Linked DNA regions of Tamandua tetradactyla. The main gene of each other region encodes a partner of the protein of the gene in region 2 in a complex. Links are inferred from orthologs where the notes say so. Each region holds a gene or a part of one and is shown on either strand. Other genes may lie near its edges.

Region 1 (10,028 bases), on a different chromosome or scaffold from region 2:
GGTACTGAGGACCTGATTCAGCACGTAGGGGCCCAATCTTGAGCACTCATGTCTGGGGAGGAGGGAACTGCTTTTGAGGATGTCCCTGCTGGTCTGGTCCCCAGAGGGGCATGCACAGGGCCCACTGCGTCCCACTGAAAATCAGGCCACCTTTGGCCCAGCCCCCCTGGAAGCTAGCACGTGGTTCTTTTGGTGCCCTGGCTGTGGGCCCCTTTACCTTGTGCTGGAGACCGCCTGTGAGTTTGGAGAAAGCAGTTCCTGGAAGAGGGAACATGCTGAGAAAGATGGCATCACAGGAGCTCTTCTGGGATAATGTGGCTCTGGGTACCACCACCGAAGGCCAAAGGGGAGATTCATTCTCTAGGTCCAGTGAGCTCCCAGGTTTACCCTGGGCTCTGGGAGCTGGCCAGGCAGCCCAAGCGTGCCAGGTAGCTCAGCTGGCTAAGTGCCTCCAGGCTCCACGTGCTGTGGTACCGTAAGCCCATCGCTGGTTTCGAGCCAGCTTTCTGGAGCTAAGCAGGCTTGCAGGAGATGGCGAAGGACTCCATTAGATGAAAGGAGTCAGGCTGCACCCTCATTGAGATGGGTGGTGCTTCCTGTGGGGCCTGACTGTGCTGGAGGAGAAAAGAAATCTTACCACTCCACACACCCTAAATGTTACAACCTCACAATGCATCTCTTTGTTGATCACGGTTCCAATCCCACTGCTTGCAGGATATAGGAAGAGCCCTCCCAGAAATCTGTTCATGGACAGACTTGTTTAATTAAGGAGATGTGATTGTTTCTGAAGCCAATTGTCTCTTGTAGACACCAGGACATTTTAATAAGTCTGCACCCAACCCACAATTAGAGGAGCAGGCATGCCACGTGAAAGAGTCAGGCTCCCACTCGCATGCCTTGGGCCAGCAACCTTCCTGTTGGGACCCCTGGGAAACAGCTCTGGCTGTACTGAGCCACCCAAGGAGCTCCGAAAACCACCAAAGCCTGTCCCCTCGCAATTCTGCTCCCAGACTGAGTGGGGAAGCTCTGCTGAGAAGATCTCAAGCCTGTACCTCTAAAGGGAGGAGAGAAAATTCAGAAGGTCCTGGCTTTCACTGTCACCTTTATTCCAGGGCTTCCAGGGGCCCAGCTTGCATGGGCCTCAGCTGGGAGGCCCTTGGTTCTGTACCCCCAGCCGGCCAGACTGAGAAGGGATGATGGTGGAGTAAGAGGGCAGCCTGCCTCTGAAGTGCAACTCTGGGCCTGAAGGGGACTCTGGGCTGGGGTGGGGGAAAGCACTGGCTAGAGGATGATTTTGATGCAATGATTTAGACACAAGTGTTGGGAAATCTAGGCAGAGCCCAGGAATGCAGAAAGTGAGAAGGAGCCTCAGGGCAGACTGAAGCTCCAGAATCCAAACCCAAAGCAGAAACATACTCTCCAACTGGGCAAGCAGCACGGAAGAGGCAGGGGAATAGGTTAGAGAGGCTGGCTGGAAATTCTCCCCGTGGCAGCTGAGGGGGCTGGGTGGTCCAGGGTCTAGCTCCTCCAGCTCAGCTTCTGCAGATCAAACCTGAGTCTCATGGCCCTGAATTTCTCTCCAGGGTCTTGAACTGGTTCTGCCCCGTGCCATGACTGCCCCATGACTGCAAAAGTGCAGCTTTCTCTCTCTCTCTTTGCAAAAAGGGACTGCAAGAGTCTGTCGCCCGTGGACACCCCATGGGAAGGCCAACCCGGGCGTCCCCGTCAGGAGGAGCCTCTGATTCTCCCCCAGATCTTTCTGTGCACCAAAGCCAAATCGGAAAACATACCTCACTTCAGCCAAATCAGGTTTTGTGGAAATGACTTCGCCACGCCCCAAGGCGGCCCAGCCACACACCAGTTCCCACATGTCAGGGCCACTGGAGACCGTCCAGCCTCACCGGCAGAGGCCCGAAGGCCGACTGGGATAAGGCAAGGAGTCTGGGTGCGGGGAGGGTATGACAACAGGGGAAAGAGAGAGGTTCCGGCTTTGCATCTGGGGAACACCCTGCCTCCCACATCTGGTGTGGTGGGGGGCTGCTTGGCCGGCTAAGTGAAAAATAAACCCAAAGGCAGAGGGGGCTGCAGAAGCTGACCTGTGGTCATCCCTCATTTTGGTGGAAATAAACTCGTCTGGGGAAAATCCCGACTTCCTGGTGGCTCATGATTGCCAGGCCTGCAGGGCTCCCCACTTCTGCCCCTCCATGGATCTCAACAAATAACTGTCTCCTCCCACCTTTTGGGGGCAAGGAGTCCTGGGGGGAATATATGTTTGCTGGGGAATTAAAGCAGTCACACGAGCCCCGCCCTGTCCCCTCCAGTCACAAGTCTCCAGTTTTTGCAGATGTCCAGGAAAGGAAAAAAAAAGCCATCACTGGGAGCATACTATGGAAGGGCCCTCCTCCCTCCCTGTTCAGTCCTGTTTGCAGGGTCTCCCGGGCAGGGAAGGCAGTCAGCCAGCAACCGGGCCCCTGGGGCTTTAACCTGCTTTTCCCATAGCCAGGGACAGGGAGGCCTCCCCCCTCAATCAGGCAACCCCCCAAATGGGGCTGTTGGGAGAAGCCCTTCCTCACCCAGCCACAAGCCCAGGGGAGCTCAACTCCTGTGTCCCCTGCGAAAGTTTCTACCGAGGGTCTTCACTCTTCTAGACTACAGAGACGGAACTGCTCCTGCCCACACCCACCCACCCACTGTGTCCCCCACTCTGCCCACCCAGGGTGCGACGCCTGCCAAATCCCAATCCGCAATGGGCTCCCTGGCTCCCTTCTCGGGGGCTGGGCTGCAGTGAAATTTCGGTGGAATTTTGAGGTTCAGAAGCATCTCGGCAGAGAGGGGAAAAGAAGGGAGGGAAGGAAGGGGAAAGAGAAAGTACGATTTGGCGTCAACTTGCAGGATTCTCCAAGGAGGCCGAGCGACCCAGAGGCCGGCGCTGGGTCCCTGCGAGAAGCGGGCGGCTCGCGGCAGCAGCGGGGTGGTCGCGGTGCCCGCGGGGTTGGGGGGGAGGTGGGGATGCAGGCGGGGGGCAGGGGGCGCCGCTCCTTACCTACATCTGCATTGCAAAACGCCTGTTGCGGGTGCACCGGGGAGCAGCTGCAGGCGTCGGCCTGGCGAAGCAGCGTCCCCAGCAGCAGGAGGCCGAGCGCCAGCCGCAGGCTGCGGGCCGCGGTGCCCATGGCGGGCCGGGGGCGCGGCGCGGGCCGGGCAGGGCGCTGCTCTCCGCTCCTCGGGCTCCTGGCTCGACCGCCGCCGCTTCCTCTCCGGGCCGCGCGGCTCCTCTCCGGCGGGCTGGTGGGGGGCACAGGAGGGGCGGGGGTGGGGGGGGTTGGGGGGACGCTCAGGCTGCGCGCTCCGCTTCGGGGCGCGGCCCGGGGCTGGGGGGTCGAGGCGGGGTACCCCCTCCCGCGCCCCGGCACATCCCTCCGCACCTGGCCGTACTCACCCGCCGAAACTTTCTCTCCTCTTTGTCTCGGGGGCGGCGCGGGCCTGGCGGGGAGCAGGGTCGGGGGACACTGGGGTGGGCTGGGGGGCAGCCGTTTACCGGGCGGAGACGACAGCGGAGCGGGGGGCGGCGAGGCGAGAGCGTGCGCCGCAGCCTGGTCCCCGGCGCCGCCGACTGCCTTCTATGGATGTGTTTGCGGCGGGCGCGGGCCGAGCCGGGCGTTTTACTGCGCTCGAAGGATTTGGCGCCCCTCCTCCCGGTGGCGGGCGGCCAGTGCAGGCTCCGGGCGCTCCCAGCAGCCCCCTCCTCCCGCGCCTCCCGCGCCTCCCCGGCCCTCCCCAAAACCCGGGCTTTTGTTGTGCCCAGCCTGGCACGGCGGGCGGGGGAGGGGAGGCGGGCGGGGGTTGCTTTCCGCGCCCCCGGGCCTGAACCACGCTGCTGGCCGCCGGCGCGCACTGCGCCCAGCCCCGGCCTCCTACCCCCCGGGGCAGCCCCCCAAATCGCCTGAGGTCGGGAGGAGGGGTGCACAGGAGCGGGCAGCGCCCATTGGGCTCTGACTCAGCATTGGGGACAGCGCAGCCATGGCTCAAGGGCACCAAGCGGTGGTCGGTCACCCCTCGCCTCTTAGCTGGGCGCTGGAGGAGGGCACTGTGGGATTCCCTCCTAACCCCTGGGGTCCCTTTCCTTCCAGCAAAAGGGATGTGCCCTTCGGAGCAGAGGTCATTCCCTGCCACCCCTTCCCCTGTGTCCGTTTGGGCAGATGACCTGTGTGAAACTGACCCTGGGCTCCTTTTCCAGATGGAGGCCTTAGAATTTTAAGTGCACTTGGCCAGTTTAGTTGGGGGTGGGGGGTGGGGGAGGAGAGGGGAGTGGTTACTGAACAAAACAGGATTTTACATAAACTGGCCATATTTTTGACCAGCCAACAAGGGGAAGGGGGTGGGCCTGTGAGCCCCTAAGCCAGTAGGATTGTAAGAAAGGCACTGTCTGGCCCCCCCCTCAGCTCCCTCCCCTGGCTCACATTTTTTGGAGCAGGAGAAGGATTTTTCCCAGAACAGTTCTGAGTTCCAGGAAAGGCCGAGGGACTCAAAGGCCAGGGCAGCAAGAGGAGTATGGGGAGTGGGTGTCCATAGGGACCCCATCTACCTGTCACTGACCCTGCCTGGACCCCGCACCCCTCCGAGTCTCACAGGGTGTCTCTAATCTAGGTAGGGAGATGCAAAAGGAGGGAGATGACATGATTAAGAAACAATTGTCAGCTGCATTGTGTGGTGCTGACTTGAGATATGAAACTTTGGAGAAAATTGGAACAATTGGAAAAACGTTTTTCTGTTTGTGCGTGCCTCGAACCACACAAGTTGGAGAAAAGTTCATCTTCAGAGCAGTGGTTTCGAGTACCGCAGCAAACCCAAAGCCACTTTTTTCCAGCTTTTGTTAGTGTAAAATGTGGTTGTGTTGTTCAGGAAATGATGTTTGATGTTAACTGTTTAAAGTACAGTTCATTCAGAAAATCATTGCACACTGAATGGCTGTAACCTTTCCATTTCTCTTTCTTTTTTTCCATTATGAGTGGAACAAAAGGCTACCAAGATATCCAGAACCTTGAACCAATATGTTAGTTTTTAGGAAAGAAACACATAATTTAGGGACTCGGTCTTTTAGGTAAGATATCCATGTAAGTAAGTGTACATTAGTGGGATAAATACCTTCCAGGTGAGTTTGATGGCTTCACTGTAGGTATCAAGAGGAAGTAAAGGGTCTGACCTGAACCTCTCATGGGGCAGACACACCTCACCTGCCTTAGAATTCCCTCCCACTGAAGCATTCCCACCAGCACATCAACAGGCTGGAGTTTCTCCCCGCAGCAGGTGAGCAAACCTGTACTCGGGACCACACTTCTGCCACCGCAGTGCCGGTTGCTCTGCTCCCTTAGAGTGAATCTCTTACAAGCAGCCACCTGGACGAGAAGTTTCCAGTTCTCCTCCTCCCTTCTCCTTTGCTCATGCTCCAACCTGGCCCCATCGGTCACTCTGTCAAGGTCACGCAGATCTAACTCCCACAGGCTGAGTCGTGTCTTACTGGACACACTGGGCACACCCTCCTCCCGAGCTCCCCCCCTTGGCTGGCGGGGTGCCATCTCCATCTCTCCTGGCCCTCTGGCCTGCATGCCTGTCATCCGGTGCCCTCTGCAGGCCCCTCTCATCTCCCACCTGTGTCTTGCATGGCCAAACACAAAGCTGCCACAGTTCCCCTTCTCGATAATGGCATCTCCATCCTCCCACGGTGGGGTCCAGCCCACCCCATTCTCCCCATCCCCTCTCCTGGCCCAATTTTTCCATCACCACTTAAAATAGTAAACTTAATTTAGTTATAATCTATCCTTTCCCCCACTGAGTAGAAGCTCCAGGGGAAAGAAATTGTTGTTTTGTTTGTTTCTGTGTCCCCAGGCCTAGTACGTGTTAAGAGTTCATTACATACTTGCTGAATGAATGAGGGAGGAGAGAGAGAAGAAGGGAGGGGATGATTTTCAAAGGATAAGCTGGGACTTTCATGGCAGATGGGATGGGCCTGCAGGGGAGTTGACAATGATTCCCTAAGGCAGGAGCCCAGGAGCGCAGTGAGCAGAGAGGAAGGAACACAGGGGTGGGGGGGGAGGCCAGGGAGGGCTCAGGAGGGAGGGGAACTATCCCCTCTCCCCACACCCCACAAATCAGAGCATCTGATACAGAAAACTAGATTCCCTCCACTCCTTGCTTTGCAGATTCCTCCCTCCCTCTTTTTCTCCCTTCCTCCCTCTCTCCTTACCTTCCTTCCATCAACAAATATTTCTTTGAGCGTCTACTGTGGACTAGCCACCGATCTGAGAGCAGAGGATTCAGAAGTCACCAGAGTGGACAGAAGGCCCTGGGAGCGGCAGGTGGAAAGATCCTGAGGCCCAGAGGCTGGGGCAGGAGGTTGGGGTAGGAGATCAGGGCGGCCAGAGGAGAAGGAGGTAGGAGTCTGGTCAAGAGGCTGGGCAGGGAGCAGGAAGAAGGTTGGAGCAGAGGTGGGAGAGGGTCCAGTTCATGTTCTACCAGGACAAAGTGATGTGGTGGGTAGGGCAAGAGTGGGGGCAGGGAGCAGGATGGCAAGGAGATGGGAGAGAGAGGCAGGTTAACTCAGAGCCACCCGGCAACCGGCCCCCCCTGGCAGCCAGACGACCTTGGCTGACCTTGCCAGCCCTCTACCTTTCCATCCTCAAAAATGGTGATGGAAAGCTTTCTGCATACGATGGCTGCGGTGGGGGAAGTCGGGCTAAGTCCTGTGCAGGCATCTCACCTGAGGGGTAAAGGGACTCCCCCTCGGACATAGCAGGGGAGGGCCAAAGGCTGATCCCTGGAACCCAGGTCTGCCCCTCCCAGCCCGCAGCCCCCGTCTTGTCCCTGCAGGGTCCTTGGCTCCCACAGCCCACCTGAGTCTGCCGGCCCCTCCTTAAGGCCCCCTCACACTTGCCCTCCACCTTCTCTCCCCATCCCTAAGCCAAGGAAGCAGAGAAGGAATCTACTAAAGGTGCCTGCCACCCTCCCCAAATCGCTCTTTCAGTGGCTCTCTGCCCTATGTCCCATGGCTCATGAAAGCAGGGTGGTTTCTGGGCAGGAGGGAGGGCAGGGTCGGGGATGAGGAAGGAGGCCCCGGGGCTGTAGCTGGCAACCTCTTTCTCACTGTTCAACCAGCCTCCTCTGCCGCTCACCTTGACATTGCTGGGTGGGACAGGTGGGAGCTCTAGGAGAGCCCCTGTCTTGGAATCTGTATGTACTTTGACCCATGGCTCCAAGTGGGGGCTGGGGGAGGAGGGCAGATAGGAGGCAGCGTGGCACCTGCTGGCATGGGGGAGCTAGGTGTGCAGGGAGGGGCTTCCAGGGTCCCTCGGACCTTGCTGCCGATCAGGAAGACTGGCCCTGCCCCCCCAGAGATCTCACAGGCCTGAGTTGGCCAGCACCCTCAGCTTACCCCACCTCTGTCCACACACACCCAGAAACACAGCCTGGGCTTGGCCGAGTAAATACCATCCAGGGGCCAGGAGGAAATGCCAACAGGCTTGACGAGCTCTTCTCCTCCGCTCCTCTCTGGTTCCCATGTCCACCGGCCTTTGGCCCCACTCAGCCGCACTCCACGCCCATCCGGCCGTGAGACAGGCAGCGGAAGCGCCTGTTCTCGGTAGATCCACTCTCCCAGTTTGGATGAGGTCCATTTCCTCTTGAACATATAGCATTCCCTCCCTAGAGACAGCTTGAGCGGAACAGAAGCCCCCACACTCTTTCTGGCAGGTTCTGGAGAGCTGGGCACACTGCTCAGCGTATGGGCATAGCAGTTGGCCCCGTGCATTCAGGAAGAAGGACCTGAAGTCATGGGGCCGCAGTTCCCAAAGGAGGGCAGTGTCATGGACAGGTCTGGGGACAGCAGAGAATGGGTGGCTATAGGGGGAGGGAACCTGTCCGTGGGTCTGGCTGGCTGGGAAGAGGACCGCGGTACTGTGATGTGTGGCCCCCTCGATTGATGGGGTGCACCAGGGTTACGATGGACCTTCCCATCCACTCTGAGTGCCAGACACTTGGCCCAGCCCAGGTACCTGTACACAGCGTCCCCAGAACACCACGAGGATGGCAGGAGAGTGAGTCAGAAGTGACGGCATGCGGGCGGGGACCTGTCAGTCTGCTCGGCATTGTGGCATTCGGCACTGGGTGTTGATTCCCATCTCTCCTTCACTCCAGCCGGCGCGTCTGAGCTCAGCCTCGGCAGGGCTGACATCTGGGCTGCATCTTTCCTCGTGGCAGGGGTTCTCCTCGCCACCGTGAACTTTCAGGCAGCACCCCCAGCTTCCGGCCTCTACATTCCAGTAGCAAATCCCACCCCATGTGGCGGCAACCCAAACCACCTCTTGACCTTGTCAAACATCCCTGCTAGAAATCGCCCTGCTAGAGACCCACTAACTTAGGGAGACTGATCATGGTCTTTGAACCCGAGAAAAGCATGATACAGAAAGCATGATACAGAGACAGATAAGGAACGAGGCTGCGTTTTTGTCAAGGAGACAGTAAGGCAAAGGGGGCGTGGCTGTGTGGACACTTGAGCATGGTTAAGCTTCAGTTGGACATTACTACCTATCGTAGCTTGTCAAACCCCAACCAAAACCATTCCAGCCAATCCTAAAGAACACCTAGGGCATATATAAGACTCTACAAAGGTTCCATGCTCTAGGGTAACTTTCCAGAAACCTTCAACCTCCAGATGGGACCCTGGACCAGATAAGTCCTGAAACCTAAAGGGCCCAGCCTCTCCAGAACATCAGATAGTTCCATCCCCCATCCCATATTATTATCAGCCCCTTCCACATGAAAAAGTTAGACTGGGCATAGCCCATATACCCCCAAAGACTGGGAGAAAGATCAAAGGAGAAGGAGGAGTTATAACAGAGAAGATAGGATTTAACAAATGAGTATGAGTGCTCAATCATTGAATTGATATTTCTTTTAGTCTGCAGTATCTTAGAGCAGCTAGAAGTAAAAACCTAAAACTGTGGAATTATAACCCATACCAAACTCTGAAATCTGTTCTACAACTAATTGTCGTGATGTGGTTTGAAATTTAGTGCTTTTTTGTGTATATGTTATTTTTCACAAAAAAAGGGGAAAAAGTCGATTGAGATGATACAAATAAAGATGAGCAGGAGGAAATAAAAAAAAGAAGAAATATACAAATTAATAATAAAAAATATATATGAAGGGCGCCCCTGGGTGGCAGAAGCCTAGGGGACAGAATGCAGGTCTTACACCCTGTCCCTTGTGCAGGGAACGCAGTTTTCAGACGTGGGTTCAGCCCTAAAGTGAACACCTCTTTGGGCAGAAATACGGATTTTCCTCTATTTTCTATGTGGCGCTATCCGTCTTTCCTGGCTGCAGCTTTTCGTTTCCCTTTGCGTGCTTCCACCCATCCTCTCTGCTTGTTCCTTTGGGCCCTTTGGCTGTGTCCCTGGCGGCTCTTCTGTCGTGCCGCCCGGCACCTTTAAGAAGGCGAGGAGGACTGGAGACTGGGCCCCCCACCTTCTGCCAGCTGGCCCTTCCCCTCTGCGGCACATTGCCCTGGGCAGGGCGCAGCCTCCTCCACCACCGGCGGGGACCCAGCGCCTCCGTGCTGTTGGGTGCAAACGCCGGGTGCCCCACCTCCAGAAGAGAAGGAGCCGAGAAGGGGAGGCTGTGCTGGTGCAGGGCAGAGACCCGTGAAACTGTCGGCCTTAGGAGAGTGCCACCCCTGGGGACCTGGGGACAAGCATCCTGGATGGAATCATGCAGCTCCTGCCTGCTGGCCACGGCCTCACGCCAGGGGGCTCAGGGTCCACGCCGCCCCCCCCCCCCCCCAGAGAAGCAGGAGGTCCCCTGGATCCTCGCACAGACTTAGTTCCTGTAGAAACAAACACTACGGGAGCATCACCCCCAAACCCGTGGATTTCAGGCCTGTGCCTTCCATTGCCACTGGGCTACCCATGCCCGAGCTCCCTCCTAGCCCAGACGGCATCATGGTTCCCTTCCTGGACGGGTTAGGGACCCGGGGG
Region 2 (9,342 bases):
CAGCCTCTCCGTCGTGGATGCGGGAAAACCGCAATGGCGTCACGTCGCTCCAAACTTGGAAGGCTCGAGCGAAGGCATCATCCACTGTCTCGGGGTCCAAATCGGGCGTGTAGCCAATGATCCTGGGGGTGGGAGAAATGCTTATGAGCGTGTATGTGTATATGTGAATATATAAGAATGAGTGTGTGTACATAAGCATGTGAGTGTGTATTCATGCATGCAAACAAGTATGCACTGAGGTGCATGATTGTGTGCATATGAATACGTATACTTGTGTGCAAGTGCATGCATACGTGTATGCATATGCAGGTACTGGTACGCGTGTGTCAAGCAGAGCTCATTGTGGGAGCAACCCTCCCGGAAAATCTTGAGGCCTGTGGCGTCCCAGACCAGCCAACATTCTCAAGCCCATCCCAGGAGTCTCATTTCTCACTCCAGGCTGGCAGGGGCAGCCTGTCTGGTGGGACACAGGGACACAGGGGAGAGATCTCACCCTTGGAATCCAGCATCAGCTATACAGGGCCAACCTCTCAGCCTGGGAGGGTCTCCCTAGCCAAATTAGCAACCAGTCACTGGATTCCTTCCACCACACTCCCATGCCAGTGACTCCATCTAATAATAACAATAATGACTAAGATTTACAATATTCTTGCTACATGCCAGACACTGAGAAAAGCCCTTTCCATATGCAACCTAGCTTAGTTCTCCAACAACCCTATAAGGAAAGTTTCCATTAGCCCCACGTTGTAGATGGAAAAGCCAAAGCTCCAAGCATTGGAAAGTAAGTCCCCCAATGCGCCACAGCTATTACATGTGAGACTGTCTGACCAGAGCTCCTAAGAACACTGCATGGGAACCATTAAGATGCCATGCCTTACAAAAGATACCAGAGTGGAAAAGGCAAGGCCTAGGAAACTCAGGGTCCCCAGTCTGCCAGCCCCAGGTTGATGGCCCTGCCTCCCCAAGCCTGGCCTCAGCACCTGTATGAGATCTGGTTCTTGTCCCACTTGGGCTTGCGGGGGAAGAAGTTGTAGTTGGCCACATCAGGGTTGCCGCAGCGTGGCTTCCGCATGGTCTCGATGGTGTTCTGGTCAAGTTTGCCCGTCTGGGGCAGCCCGAAGAATTTCTGCATCTTCTTCAGTGTGTCCTTCAGCACAAACAGGTTGCAGTTCTCCTTGGGGCAGCCATAGTAGGTGTTCAGGTATTGCTAGAAGACATGAGTGTCCCGAGGAGGGCAGCCATGTTAGGACGGCACAGCATCGGCCATGGTAGGCTACAGGAAGCAGCCCCAGCCCAGCCCTGCAGCGCAGACAGGAGGTAGTCTGGAGACTCAGGAGCACTGGCTGGAAGTTAGGAAGCCTGTGTTTCAAAACCAGCTGTCACCCTCCAGCTGAGTGGCCCGTCAACCATAGGGAGCATGGTTACCCTGTGTTAGGGGATTACGATATGCCCAGGCATTGAAGTCAATCTGTCTTAAATCATTTAATGCTCACTCACAACAACTCCATAATGTAAATATGATTACTATCCCCATCATATGGAAGAAAAAAACCAATACACAGAGAGGTTAAGAAACTTGTCTAAGATCACACAGTTCACAAATGGCAGAGCTGGATTTGGGCCCAAGCAACCCGGCTCCAGGACCAGATGTTTGGAATTGTGACATGCCACCGCCCTGCTTTACGTCCATTGTCTCGTTCAATCCCCAATGTCAAGCCAGCGACATAGGGATTATTTTCTCCCCCTTTCTTATAAGGACACTCAGGGGCGATGTGCGTCGGCTCTAGCAGCAGACAACCTGGGTTCAAATTCTGGGTCTGCTGTTTCCAAAAAAAAACAAAATGGTCTGTGCAGCTGGCTCCGCCCAACCCAAGACTCAAACCAAACAGGCTCCTGCAGAGGTTCAGGGATCAGCCAACTCATTTATCCAGCAAATACTTCACTTTAAAATTAATTTTACTTCAAAATTTCTAAAATTTACCAGTGTTCTATACCCACCAAGAAATACTTGCCCCTTTCCCTTCCCTGGTAAACTCTATTCTACTTTGGATAGCTATGAATTTGCTATTTCTAGGTATTCCATATCTGTGGAATCATACGGTATTTGCCCTTTAAGTGCCTTTGCTTTTTCCACTCAGTACAATGTTTTCAAGGTCAATCCATGTTCCAGGCTAGTGCTGGGAATAAACTGGTGAAGAAGACAGGTAATGCTTCTGGTCTCTGGGGTTGAAATCCCAGCATAGGGAAGGTGACATGGAACACAAATATATGCAAAGTTAAACATATGATAAGTATATGGCAATGATGAAAAGGGCCTGGAGACCTCATGATGGCTTCTCCATCCCACTGTTTAGGGGCTAAGGGTAATAGGAAAAGCTACCCTGCAGACCTGAGAAGCAACATCTAAAGAATGGCATTTCTGCTAATAAGATGAGGGGAAATGAAGGGCATAATAATAATTATACGACTACTACTATTAATATAACAACAGCTAATGCTTATTGAGTACTTATCATGTACCAGGTACTTCTCAGTGCCTAAGACAACCTCTCTAGTGCCAGGACAGGTAGGCTGATTATCCTCAGTTCGCAGATGAAGAAACTTGAGACTCAGCAAAGTTGACACTCACTGTGTGAGTCAGCTGGCTCACACTTGGATCTAAAGCCTACCTTCCAAAGCACTCCTCTGAATTGCCTCTTGGTAACACAGACATGCATAGGCTGGAGAAGGTGTGGAGACCCAGGTGGCTTTGTCACTGCTCCAAAGTTCCACCCTTAGCCCCCACCAACAGCCACATTAAGAGGTCCAGCACTAAGCCTTTGAAAAAAGGCAGCTCCCTACGAATGTACGGATGTCTCCCAACCCATCTAATGAACAAGTGGCAGAGACCCAGATACTGGAGATGTCACATCCCGAGAAAGAGTTCCCAGGGTGACCAGAGGGCATGGGAGCCCTGTCCTGAGCAGGCTGGGGACCAGGTTGGATGGATGGAGAAGAGCGGCTCTCCAGGGTGGCAGAAGCAAAAAGGGGTCAAGACTACTGCGAAATGGGAGGAGCCCTTCCACCCGGAGAGGCTCCAGGACAGGGTGGAGGAGCTTACAGGGACAAAGGGGAGTGCGCTACCCCCACTCCACCCCCACTCCAGCCCGGATTATGCAACGCTGTGGCCACGCTGCCCCTCGAGCCAAGCGCACGCGCTCAAAGAAAATAGCATCTGAGCCGCCGCTCGGAGGCGGGCCAGGAAGGAGGGCTGGTTGGCCGCTCTCCGACCCGAGCAGGCTCGGTCTGCCCCCGCCCCACGGGCCAGGGGACCTCCCGCGCCCTTTTGCTCCTCCCTTCACCCATCCTTCGGGCCAGTTTTTTCTTCTGTCCGCCAACACTTTGGAGAAGTTCGAGGAAATTTTCCGAGACTCAGAGGTGCAAACCTTGACCCTCCGGGCCAATTTACCCATCAAGCCAGAAGAAAAAGATGCTCTCCTCGCTTCCCTCCTGACGCAATTATTTGCCAAACCGTCCCAGGGAGCTGTTGTCCAAAGCCCCTCTCCAGATGTGCGCCAGAGGTTCCCAGACGCCTGCCAGGTCTCGCTTTGCCCAGAGCTCCCATCTTTATGCGTACCAAAGTTTTCCCAGATTGTGTGCCAAAGAACCTCTTTGCCAAAGTCCTTCAGAGGCACAAAAGCTCCTCCCCCAAGTGCAAAAGAGACCCCCTTAGCTGTCTGCCAAAGGCCTACCAACGTGCTTGCCAAAGGCCCCGTTAGCCACCTCCCCAGATGTGGCCAAAAGTTGTTTACAAAGCCCGCTCCCCTTGCCAAAGCTCACAGATGTTTGACAATGTCCCGGTTATTTGCAAAAGGGGCCCTTTCCAACCGTTTGCCAAAGCAATCCGCACCCCCGCGCCCCCCAACACACGCCCGGCTTTGTTTCTCAGCTCCCAGCTGTGTCCTGAATGTTGCCAAGTTGTTTAACCAAAGGCCTCCAGTTTCCAAAATACCCCCCCTCCACCATTTGCAAAAGGGATCTCTCCATCACTGTGCCAAAGATACAGCAGTCTGTTTTCTGAAGTCCCCTCCCCGCAACGTGTGCCCATGCGCCCCCTCCCATTCTCCGCCTCAGAAGTTTGTTTCAACTTGGCTTGTTGAGGCCAATTCGACAACTCACCACCGCCAACTCTTTGTCCGTTTTGGGGGCGACGTCGCCGGGGAACTTGATGACCGGCGTCGGCGCTGCGGCGGCGGGACCCAACAGGCAGCCCAGGACGCAGAGCGCCCGCAGGGGACGGGCGAGGGCGCCCCAGGCCACTCGCGCCTCCATCATTGCGCTCCCGGGCCCCGCACGTCGCCCGGGACTCGCTGGCTCGGTGCGGGTGACCGCGGCGCCGCCTGGCTGGCGCCTGCTCCGCGGCGCGGCGCTGTGCTCCGAGGGCCGGCTCGGCTCGGTCGGCTCCGCCCGACTCAGTGGCGCATGGTCCGGCCCCTGCGCCGCAGCCCGCGCCACCGCCTGTTCTCGCCGGCCCTGGCAATCCCTTTGTATGTTTAAAGCTCCAGATGCACAGCCTCCAGCCACCTCCGGAGGAAGTCTGGATGCGGCGGAAACAAGGGAGGGCGGCCGCCAGATGTGGCCGGCTGGACTGGGAGGGTGCTGGCAGCTCTTTATGGGGGCGGGGGGCCGCTTTCAGGCCCGCCCCTCTCTGACCCCTCCTCCAGCCCTCCTCCTCCTCCCCCTTCTCCCCCTTCCCCCTCCAATTCCTCCCCTTCTCCCTCCCCACCCTCCCCCTCCCTCTCCCCCTCCCCCTCCTTTTCTCCACCTCCACCAGCTACCCACGGCCTCTGAATCCACCATCAGTGCGTGCACTAGCTGCACGGGTTCCTCCCACCCCCGAACAATACCTTCCCCCTCAAATTAAGAAAAAAAAAAAATATATATATATATATATATACCTATTGTCTGGAGGCCGCTACGAGGAAACATCTAGCACGACTTTAGACTTTTCACGTCCTCAGGGTGGAGAACAGTGGTTCATGGGGGGACCCCGTGGGCCAGGACACCCTGCACTCCACGGTGATGATGGGTCCTGGATGGGGAGGGACGGTCAGAAACAAAGGGTCAGAAGCAAAGATAGATCATCAGTGTTCTCCCTTCTTCCTTTCTCCCTACTTTCCTTCCTTCTTCTGCAAATATATAAGCATTTATTTTGCCCAGACATAGTGCAAGATGCCAGATATACCCTGGGGAGCACAGCAGTCACGGTCCCTGTCCAGAGGAGTGCCCCCTCCCCTCGGGAAAGACTGCGGATTGTGGTGGCACTCGGCCTGAGCTCCTAAACAGTCACGGAAGTCTTCCTGGAAGAAGTTTTCCTGAGCTGAGAACTGAAGAGCTGAAAGAGGGATTGTTGGAAGAGGGATATTTTGGCCACGGTAAAGAGATGCAAAAAGCCCAGAGATGAAAGACAGAAAGATGCACTGGAGAAGGAAGCCCCTGGATCAGAAAAGGGTCTAGTGTGGCACAGGGCTCAGCAGGGATGAGCTCCAGGAGCAAAGACATGGAGCCGAAAGGGTCAGCAGCCATGTGCTTGCAGAGAATCTTGATGGTCACAGAGATGTGTCTGGCTTTATCTTAAGGGCCCGAAAAGCCTCTGCAGCTCAGGTCTCAGTGGGCTTCAGTTATGTTTGGGCTTGTCTGGCAGGCATGTGCTACTGGGCTGCCAGAAATCAGACTTAAAGGAGCCTCTTGGAAGGGACCTCACCCCTCAGGAGGGACCAGGCCCATCAGCCTGACCCAGTGAGAAACCTTGGCTTTTGCAAGGGGCGTGCATCTGAGATAATGGGGGTCTGGCTGGAGTGGGGTCGGGACTGCCTCCTCGCCCAGCCCCATTTGGCCCATGTCCATGCCCTATTGGAGAGTGTCCCGGCCCGAAGGGGCTTTTCCAGCCAAGAGACCAAAGAAAACACCAGGCGCAAACTGAGGCGTGGGCTTTTATTATAGGGACTTACTAACAGGAATGAAGAAAAGAAATTCATCTAGGAGTCAAGTTGCTCTGATGGTGGCTGATGCAGAGCTCAGTGTGACAGTGTTCCTCATTAATGAGTGGGCGGTGGGGAGCAGGGTTTTATAGTGGGCATAGACAAAGAAGGCACAGAGCCAGGAGAGGGGACATGTCCACGTTGCTAACAAAGTCAACTGTTTCTTAATGTTTACCTCTCTGGGTACAAGTTCTTATGGAGTTAACCTTGTGGAAAGATAATGAAGGCACAGAGTTGAGAGAGTAGATTCAGGAATGTGCATAATTGCTGACAAAGTTGGCAGAGTTGGGGGATACTGAAAAATGCAAAAACGTTACGTTCCAACTCACCCTGTCCCACAGCTCTAACAATCTTTCCGCTACCTCTTCTATATACGTCCTTGAGTGTGGGAACAGGAGGCTTTACAGCTTGTGATATTGAGAAATGAGGCCACAACTGCAATATAAACTGTAACAAGATAGACAAATAATCAATACTGTTAGCGTGCAGCTAAATTAGAAGCATTATAGAACCGATATGTCTTTTAATTCTAGCACTTAAGAAGCCATAATCAGCAACCATTTAATTCAGGCCACCCCAAGCAGACGTCACGGATGGGCAAGTCTTGTTCAGATGTTCTCTAATAGTCAGTCTGGTTGAGGAATGCTGTTATGGCCACAGCTTAATCAAGCAAGACAAATAACTGAGATGAAGCAGGAAAGAAGCTTAGGGGCCCAAACATAAACGTTTAGTAGGTACCCTAATAGGAAAGTCCTCTTTTGTGAGTAAAATTACTGTAAAACATTCTCCCCTAGGGCTTAGGATATTAGCTCTCACATTGCAAGTGCCAGGCTTACTATATCACACATGCTGTTCCTCCATGCAAGCAGGGCTTAGGGCCAGTTGTATCCTTTTAGGTTCTTATCACATCACTCTGGCCATTATTTCCCTGGTAGATACACCTCTGATGCACTGTTCATATTGTAGCATTGGTGGTTCTTTGGCGAACAGGAAGATGGGCTCCAGGGCTCCACCAACCTGTTCCATCGCACCCTTGGGTACTATGGAGCAGTCAGTCAGTCTGGAGGCAGTGTCCACTGAGCCTTTTCCAGCAGACAGGGTTGCAGGTGTCAGTAGTAAAAAAGTGTTTCCATCCCCTTCTGGGGCATGACCAGAAGGTGTGTCTGATACCTTTATAGTTTGTGGGGCCATAGAAACCAGCTGTGCCAGTAACTCAAATGGGGAGATGCTATGCACAGCATTCAGAGCCTGGTTTAAACATGTAAACACTTTGGTTAAAAGCAGAGGTCCAATTTCTTTTTTACATGTTTTAAAATAATGAAAACCACAACTAGCAGGACCATATTGTATTCCATTTTGCAGATCAGTAACTGTGCTGGTTTTAAAGTATTTATGTGCCCTAGAGAAGCCACATTCTAATCCTTATCCAATCTGGTGGGAGTGACCCTTTCTTTTAATCCCTATTCAGCACTTTAGGTTGAAAACTTGTTTAGATTATCTCCACAGGCATGTGACTCACTCTGTTGTGGGTATTAACTTTTGATTAGCGGGAGATGTGACTCCACCCATTTCAGGTGGGTCTTGATTACTTTACTGAATTCCTAAAAAAGAGGAAACATTTTGGAGGAAATGGCAGATCCACGAGAGACGAGAGAGTCCATGAAGCCAGAGACCTTTGGAGATGAAGAAGGAAAACACCCCTGGTGGAGCTTCAATAAGCAAAGAGCCTAGAGAGAAAGCTAGTAGATGTCGCCATGTTCTCCATGTGCCTTTCTAGTTGAGAGAGAAACCTTGAACTTCATCGGCCTTTCTTGATTGAAGGTAACCTCTTGTTGTACCTTAATTTGGACATTTTTATAGACTTCTTTTAATTGGGACATTTCCATGGCCTTAGAACTGTAAACTAGCAACTTACAAATTTTCTTTTCAAAAACTGTTCTGTTTCTGGTATATTGCATTCTGGCAGCTAGCAAATGAGAACAGTAACCAACAAGTTAGAAAACTTCTTTAAATTCTTATAACATTATTTAAACATTTCCTATGCAACTTATATCAAATGAACTTAACTAGTTTTACTGCTTCATTTTATTTTAAGGTGAAAAAACAAGTCCGTTGCAACTGTTTGGAATAAAAAGATATCCTTTGGGGCTTGACCCTGAGAAGGCAAGATGTTGAAAGTAGTCAGGTTTGAAACAATATTTGGTTTTCTCTTATTATTAACCAAAGCCAAGAGAAAGATTCAGCTTCTTTAAAAGTGAGATTTGATTTTTTTTTAAACAACTAAGATGTAATGAAGTCAATATAAAGTATAAGAAGTTATTCTGATAGAACGCAGACTTTCTGCATTTTATATTGATTACTCAGGGGAAAAAAACTTTAATAACTTCTTTCCAAAAAGCTGACTAATAATCCAAAGAAACTTTATTATTTTAATAGAGAGAAAACTAAATTGCAGTTTAAATCAATATATTATTTGATGCTAAAAACTTAAATTTCACAGACCTATCAAAGTTTTCTTAATTTTTACAATTTGCACTTTTGTTAATTTTTCCAGTTGTATTGGTTATTTCTTAATGTCTTCCCAGAGATTCCAGATTTTCTGATTCTAATCCTTTTTAGTTAACACAGTTTTAACCTTGGCTGGATCCTTTTCTTGGCCTGCAAATTTTATAAAGACAGGCCAGCACTTCCATATCATCATTTTTTAAAACTCTAATTGCTCTGAAAGGCTTGTTACTAAAGCAGAGGTGGAAGTCTGTATATCTCTTTCTAACTGCATCTCTTCTTTCAACCTGTGAATTTCTTTGTCTTCTTGGAATGGTTGTATCACACACGATGATGACCACAACATAGTTAAGCAAGTGGGTGGCCCCAGGCCCCAGAATTACCCCCATGAAATCTCCCTTCCCCTTATTAGGGAACTTATCTACAGAAGAAATCACTACAATCCACCTTGGGGTTCCCCCCGCAGATCCTAACAGTCTCATGGCCTGTTAAAGGCGGGCTATTAGTCCAGCCAGGGATATACAAGCATCTCCATAATCCCTTAGCAGACCCCATTCATCCAGGGGTGTGGATGTCCCTCCCCACATAGACTTTACAGGCCATCCCAGTACCCATCCCTGTGAGTTTCCTTTCCCAGGGTTCCTGCCATCAGAGGCCGCGGTTTCTTTAGCCTCCTGGCTGGCTCGCCAATTCTCCTGGCCCGAAGGTACCTTTCCATCTGAGAGACCACACCAGGCACAGACTGAGACATGAACCTCTATTATAGGGACTTACTTCTAGGAGTGAAGAAAGAAATTCATCTAGGAGTCAAGTTGCT

The links.
Region 1: the proteins of MMP2 (region 2) and TIMP2 are in contact, whole or in part, in a crystal structure (PDB 1GXD), measured with the Homo sapiens proteins. The link is inferred for Tamandua tetradactyla from reciprocal best matches to the Homo sapiens genes MMP2 and TIMP2. Residues at the interface, in NP_004521.1 of Homo sapiens: Trp574, Lys576, Asn577, Lys579, Tyr581, Phe588, Arg590, Lys595, Asp599, Phe602, Lys604, Ile606, Ala607, Asp608, Ala609, Trp610, Asn611, Ala612, Asp615, Tyr636, Leu638, Leu645, Lys646, Ser647, Val648, Lys649, Phe650, Gly651, Ser652; in NP_003246.1 of Homo sapiens: Ile162, Pro163, Cys164, Tyr165, Ile166, Pro169, Leu173, Met175, Val178, Thr179, Phe191, Arg196, Asp198, Ser200, Cys201, Ala202, Trp203, Tyr204, Arg205, Ala208, Lys211, Gln212, Glu213, Phe214, Leu215, Asp216, Glu218.

The regions. Positions count from the first base shown.
Region 1 is NC_135332.1:71,287,447-71,297,474, forward strand, and holds the start of TIMP2 (metalloproteinase inhibitor 2), read right to left. Parts: upstream 3,642-10,028; 5' UTR 3,440-3,641; intron 3,286-3,439; 5' UTR 3,174-3,285; coding exon 3,044-3,173; intron 1-3,043. UniProt on the Homo sapiens protein: Complexes with metalloproteinases (such as collagenases) and irreversibly inactivates them by binding to their catalytic zinc cofactor. Known to act on MMP-1, MMP-2, MMP-3, MMP-7, MMP-8, MMP-9, MMP-10, MMP-13, MMP-14, MMP-15, MMP-16 and MMP-19.
Region 2 is NC_135342.1:49,190,121-49,199,462, reverse strand, and holds the start of MMP2 (72 kDa type IV collagenase), read right to left. Parts: upstream 4,352-9,342; 5' UTR 4,315-4,351; coding exon 4,159-4,314; intron 1,208-4,158; coding exon 981-1,207; intron 123-980; coding exon 1-122.